2 linked regions of the Canis lupus familiaris genome follow. The protein of the gene in region 1 interacts with the protein of each later gene in a pairwise test. Links are inferred from orthologs where the notes say so. Each region holds a gene or a part of one and is shown on either strand. Other genes may lie near its edges.

Evidence for each region.
Region 2: the proteins of DDX17 (region 1) and RBM15 interact in binary tests that used the Homo sapiens proteins (3 or more experiments, as listed by UniProt). The link is inferred for Canis lupus familiaris from reciprocal best matches to the Homo sapiens genes DDX17 and RBM15.

Annotation. Positions count from the first base shown.
Region 1 is NC_049231.1:27,281,330-27,285,626, reverse strand, and holds the start of DDX17 (probable ATP-dependent RNA helicase DDX17), read right to left. Parts: upstream 2,913-4,297; coding exon 2,772-2,912; intron 2,434-2,771; coding exon 2,141-2,433; intron 1-2,140. UniProt on the Homo sapiens protein: As an RNA helicase, unwinds RNA and alters RNA structures through ATP binding and hydrolysis.
Region 2 is NC_049227.1:42,105,174-42,107,884, forward strand, and holds part of RBM15 (RNA-binding protein 15), read right to left. Parts: coding exon 2,504-2,711; intron 1-2,503. UniProt on the Homo sapiens protein: RNA-binding protein that acts as a key regulator of N6-methyladenosine (m6A) methylation of RNAs, thereby regulating different processes, such as hematopoietic cell homeostasis, alternative splicing of mRNAs and X chromosome inactivation mediated by Xist RNA.

The sequences.
Region 1 (4,297 bases):
GTTTAAATGTACAAGGCACATCACTTTTGGATTTTACATGTACACATATACACTAACCTCACTTTTATTCTCTTCAAAATAATCTATTTCGGCTCTGTAATTGTTAAGAATATAGTAACTCAAAATCATAAATGCAATTTCATGGTAAATGTAGAATTAGGACACAAACATCATGAAAAAGTGCCATTTTGTGTGAAAAGTTTAAAGCTTTAAAAAAAATGTCATCTGATAGTCAATATGGGGTAGAAATATGGATCAGTAATTTACTTTTTCTTCTTTTCAAATAATTTGTTAAAACATGTATATGGTGAAATTAAGTATTAAACCAAACACCTATGGTATGGTAAAGAAACAGAACATGATCAGTACCTTGGTAGCCCTCTGTGCCTATTTCAAGTTTACAAACCCACTACAACTACCATCTTGATTTTTGCTTTTTGGAGTCCGGTCATATACGTATCCTTTTACCACAACTTGCTTTTTCAATGTTTGCTGGTCATCCATTTTGATGCAAGTTTTTTTTTTTTTTCTTCCACGGTTGTGTTACATTCTACTGTAATGAATACCCACCCTTTATCTAGACAGAAGAGTGGTTCCCAATATTTTCATGAACAGTGCTGGTATGAACATTTTTTGTACATGAATGCTGGGGAACACGTACAATGATTTCTCTAGGCTTGTGTCTAGGGTACAAAGCTTAAGAAAGGAATTATTGGGTCATTTTCTACTAGGTAATGTCAAAAATTCTTTGTCTCAAGTGGTTGCACTGAAATTCACTTCTAAATTGAGCTATACTGTGAAACTCTAAGCAAACATTCCACTTCTAGCCCTCCAAATTTAACACTAAGATCAAATATTTTCTTTTCTAACAAGGTATAAACAAAATAATCCTTTTTATTCGGCAATTCAAGTGAATTGAGGTGCTTATGACTAGAGGTCTGGGACTTCTGTATTTGAACCGCAAAAGACAAAAATGTTTGGAGAAAATATCAACAGAACACCTATCACAAAGACACAATTTTACATAGATCTCAATTCCCGAAAACAATGCAAAGTAAAGGCAATTATTATGCCCATCTTCAGTTGAGAAAATAGGCTCACAAAAAGGTCCAGGATCTTGCCCAAGGTCACATATGTATATATATTAATAACTGGCGTTCCATTATTATTTATCCAGAGATAAGACCTTTATTACAAAAAGTTAACAGCACGAACATTCGCATCTCTTAGGCAACTTTTCCCTTTAACTTATGTTAAGATCTGAATCTCAGTATCTGGGAAGAACTTTAATCTTGTTAACTTTCAGCCGTGGCATTATCGCATCGAAACTTTCTAACCAGGCCGAGCAACTAATACTCCAGTCCAACTGGAGAAGAACAGAACACAGGGTGGGAGGGAACCCTACAGTAACCAAAAAAAAAACAAACAAAAAAACCCACAAAAAACCCTCCCTCCCCTCCTCAAATAAGATCATTTAGATGGCAAACAATTCCACTGCTTTACTGTCCAAAGTGCTTCCTTCGAATTATCTGAAATACCACTAAAGGGGATTTTAAGATACATTTAAAACTAGAAATCAGCCATTTGGCGTCTAGTTTCCAACTCGATTTCCAGTTCCTTTAGCAGTTATCTCTGGCGACAGATAAGATAAGGGAAGCCATTTGGCGTCAAGATTTTCCCAGGCCGAACTCGGAGACCTCCTCCTCTTCTCAGCAAGAACATCCGTGTTTTACAGATGAGCGCTGAGGCCTGGAGAGATCAAATGACTTGCCCAAATCGGCCGGGCCCGGCAGCCGGGCGGCGAGGCGAGGCCAGGCTGGGTCTGCGGCGCTCGGGCCGCCGCTCCGGCTCCCCGCCACGACTGCGGTCCGAAAGGAGGGGCTGGGGCGTCGCCAGGCCGCCCCCCCACGCCGGGTCTCCCGTGATCCCGGGGCGCAGGCCCACCCGCAGGCCCGCACACCAAACCGCTATTATGTCCCAGGTCGCCTCGCCTCCCGGAGTCGGGGGCGTCGCTCCCAGGCCTGCAGTCCGCTCCAGGTCTCCCGCTCGGCGGCAGGCTGCGGTCTCCTCAGGAAACAACCTTCCCCCTCCCCCCGGCCCACGCACACGCGAGGCCTTCCCTCTCCCCCTCCCCCCTTACCCTCCACGGTCACGATCCCGGTCCCGGTCCCCAAAGCCGCCTCCGCGCATGGTCCCAAACGGATAGAGATCTGGGAGCGGGGCACGGATGGCCGGGCTCGGGAGGGCCTGCGGCTCCGGTCTGGTGACGACCGATGGCGGCGGCGCCTCCGCTGTTGGGGCGGCGGCAGGCGCGGCGCTCTCTCGCTCCGACGCGCTGTCTCCCGTCGCAGACGCCACCGTCGCCGCCTCTCTCGTCGGAGACGGGAGCAAAACACAGAGAATCGGGGTTATAAAAACTGTGGGTAGGTTTGGCTACGCTCAAACCCGGCAGTGCCGCGGTTTAGGCGTCTCCTTCCTTCCCAGCGACTGCACAAAATGGCGGCCGGCGCTGAGACTGCTCCAGCTTAACGCTACGTACGTCGGAGACGATACGTAAACAGCGTCTTGGAATAGCCCGAGGGCTTGGCGGAGTACTAAGGGCATTCTTGGAAGCCATTTACGTCAGTTGCGCAGACCGGCACATGTTGCAGTCCGTAGAAGAAAAATAAAGTACGAAGCGGGCGTAGAGTGCTCGCGCCACCTGAACTAGAACGTGGGGTGGGGTGAGGGGAAGAGCCTCCGGTGCGACGTAACATTCTTTGCGTCGTTACCCGGCCCACTATTGCGAAGATGCGCAGTGTGCGTAACGCATTCTGTTTGGAGAATAGAAGATTTTGCCGGGTTCCGAACGCGGGACGGAACACGGGCCTCCTTGTGCAAGTTGGTTTGCAGACACAATAACCGTCCTCCATATTGCAGTCGTGAAGTGTCAGGGTTTCCCGGCGCCTTGGGTCCAGGCGGGTCTTCAGGGTTCCTGGATGGCGTCCCTGGGTCGCTCCGCCGGCCTGGGCCTGCCGTCACCGGCCGCGCGCCCCGGCGCCATTTTCTTTCGGTTGCCTCTCGCTGCGCTGTTGCCGGCAGCCATGATGGATGCTCCTTGTCGGTTCTCTCGGGAGGTGGTCGGCGGACGAGGTCCCAGTCAGGTTAAAGCACTCCCTGCTACGCTTGGTTCACACCGAAGTGCGTTTTCTGAGCAGAATATTCACGGTCGGGGGCTGAGCGCAGTTGGCTAACAAAGAACCAACACGCAGGTGGAGCCCCTGTTGAGGAAGACTCCCGGGTCCCATGGTCTCCGTTCGTCGGCGCTGCCTCGGGAGGTCCTGGCAGGCCCTCAGCGCCCTCCCCGGGCGAGGACGGTTAAAAGCCGTGGCCTTTCGACACAGAGAAGGTGAAGGCCTGAGCACGTGTTTTTAACCAGGCCGGAGCATGTTCCTCTCAGTTCCTTCCACGCTGGTTTCCAACTTCCTGCCTCCTCACTCAGACTGAGCTTGACGGTCTCACAAACCTGGCCAGACAGCGTCACAGAATTGTTGAGCTGCTAAGGCCCTCGCGAGCTGCTCATCTGATGTCTCTTTTGTTTATTTCTACAGATGGGGGAGGGGGGCGGGGGCGCGGGATTCGAGGTCCTTCATTGTGGGGGCTGTTGTCTCTTGGTTGTAAATGTTTCCCAAATTATGACAAAAGGAGCTCAAGGAAAGGAGCTTGGTGACAAGCCGTTCAGAGGTCCTTGGGGCCGTAGCGCAGATGGACAATTGGAACCACTGGACCTGTGCTGAACACTGCATCAGCCCAGCACTGTGCTAGGCACTGGGGCAGAGGGCACTGGACACGTGAGTTCCTGCCCTCATGGGCTTTATACCACAATGGGGGGGAATAAAACAATGAATCTTTATGTTATTTAAAGATTGCTAACTAAAAAATAAAGATTGCTGATTAAAATAGAAAAAGCGAGGAAAGGGGATAGTGTTTCTGTGTCTGTGGGGGAGGGGAGTGTATGGATGTCACGGTGTTACATGGGGTGACCTGGGGGAAGGCCTCTCTAATTCAGTGACATCTGAGCAGCGACCTAAAGGGAGGGAGTTAGCTTTGCTGGCAGAGGAAGGAACACATGCAAAGGCCGTGGCGGGCTGTAATGAGGAAAGACGGGAGAGATTTGAAGGATTTGTAGGCTGCTGTAAGGACTTTGTTTTTTCCTTTCTGTAAAATGGAAATCTCTATAAAGTTTTTAGAGTGACATAATAAAAGGGCCCCTATGACTACAGAATAGAGAATAAATTGAGAGTGAGTTGGGGCAAAA
Region 2 (2,711 bases), on another chromosome or scaffold:
CTAATGAGAATTAGAACCAGAGAGCTTTAGACTCTTACTTTCATTCCGTCCTGAAGGCTTAAAAAGATAAACAGTATTATGAACCTGCACAACAGAATGGGCAACACAAATGAGAGATTCATCTGAATGATGGCACTCTGTAGGTAAGCACCAAACTCAACATAATTAGTTATTTCTAATACATACATTTAAAAATGGTATCAAGCCATTGTTTCAAAAACACAGAAGCACAAATTGCCCATATCTAACAAAATCCGCCATGTCAGATAGATTCAAATAAACAAACATGGAGCAAAAACCACAGTACTCTTCGGTAAGTTATCACATCAACAGAAAAGAAAAGAAAAGAAAAGAAGAAAAAGGGAAACACCACACTTTGGATTAGAGCAAAATTAAATGTTGTGGACTTCACTCTCTAGAAGAGCAAAATCATTTGTCCAGCCTTCTTATCAAAAGATATTCAAAAGTTAATGGTTAGTGAGATTATTTAAACTGGAAAAATGTATCTAGCCAAACTGTACTTTGACCCCACGTATGCACAGACTGCAAACTCACATTAGTTTCTGAACAGTCTCCTCCATATTAGCGTGCCAAGCACAGCTTTTTAAAAGCAAAAAGCACGAAGTCCTACTTGTAGGATTTCAGATATTTTCCCTACAGGCAGACGGACTTTTGTGCTCATAGCCTAGTACCTTCCTTTTGTCAAAATAGCTAGTTTTTCCAGTTTAAAAACAAAACAAAACGAAACCCCCACAAAAACCTCCCAACTTAAAATTTATAAATGCATAGTGAAAACCAAAAAGGATGATACAGCAGTGATGAAGATTTCATGCTGACATGCATTAGACACCTGTCATAATGGAAAATAAAAAAATTACATGACACTTCCCTGGGTTATTATTGGTGCTATTTCAAAACTACCAGCTTTGATAACAGAAAGAAAACAGTTGAGTTCTGCCAGGCTTTCTATAAGTCACTTTCACAGAATAGAAACATGACCATGATCCAAAAGGTCCTAGAGTTTCTAATCATAATTAAATATCAAGGGCCTTAAAGTCCTCAGCATTTAAATCAAAGGGGGAACTATACTTACTAATGACCTGAGAAACTAGGGGTGAGGACAGAGGGACAGATCAAAAAAATAAGACCAAAAAAAAAAAATAATAATAATAATAATAAAATTTTTTAAAAAATTAAAAAAAATCATCCATTACTGTTCTGCAGCAAAAACCCTTGTTAAGAACCAGAAATCGATTTAACCTTTAGCTTTGAAAAAAATTGTGAGGGTGGGTTAAATTATTTTGTATTAATTTCAGTTGTCTGGGAAATAAAACAATAAAAGGGGGTTTTCCTATACTGACATTTCAGTTTGGACATCAGTGAAAATATTAAACACAGAACTTGAGAGATACTCAACATTTTCAATAATGTAATGTCACCGCTGTTTAAAAATGAAAATAAAAATACAGGCAAAATTTAAGAAGCATGTCAAAGGCATTTCACGATGACTTTAAAAATTTCTGCAATCCAGATATGGCTGATTAATGCCCACTAAAACAAAAAGCTGACTTATGAGCCTGCAGACAACTCTTCTTTCTATTATTGAAATCAGAAATTTGCATGGATACAAAAAAAATTCATCTTTGATGAAAAACACTAAAGTTTTGAAATATGCACAAATTAGAACTGTACCTGCTATACCTCTCTGAAAGTCAGTAAAAACACCACCACACACCAATAACCAAAGAATTCTGATTTTAAAAACACCTACTCACTTCTTGCATACTAGCATAAGACATATATGGTTTGTAACCTACTCCTCGATTTTTACTGAACAGTTACAGCTACAAACCAAAAGTGCATATACGGGATACAGAACTTAAGAACTAATGATAAAAAGGTTTATGTTAAAGCAAACTCTCCGGGAATAAACCATGTATATCAAGAGAAATACTCAAATACCTGATTAAAATAATTAATATTGCTATACAATTTACCAGCTTGTACTTTTAAGATTCCTGATCAAATTTCAGCCACACAAATGATATTTCTGGTACAAGAATTATTTACCTACATACCAATCAAGCCCTTTTTAGATGTATATTATCTTCTTTATATAGTCAGTGGGCTTTTCTCCGAATCCTGACTTTTCAAAATTTTGGGTTTGTAACTCTGAGGATTTTTTTTAAGCTCAAGGTTAAGGGGGGGGAAAAAAAACACAACAAGAAAAAGAAGGGGAAAAGAAGTTACTAAGAGTAGGAACTCCTAATTAAAATAAATCCATCTGCCTGCTACCTTCAGGGCATCCCTTTCACTTAATAGCTAAACTGTCCTGTCTTCTATTTCAAAGGTTTATAAAAATATAAAAAAAAGAAAAAAAGCTTCAACTAAACAAACTAACTCAAAAGAAAATTTCATCTGATGCTGTATCCCATTACACATCACAAAACAGGAACCATGTCAAAGTAGTAAATACAAGTTATACATGGACTTTAGGACGCACCACGGACAATGATCATGACCAGGTAATCTTCTTCAGATTTGGCCAGTGCCTTGGCAGGGGAATCCAGGAACTGCTGGGAGAACTCACAGGGTGGGAAAGCATGTAGGACCCCGGTGTTTTCCTTGTCTTTGTTGCCCCCCACGGGAAGGCTTATCACCCCAGCGGCCTGCTTTTGCTTTAAATAGGACACAAGGTTCCTAAGTGGCCT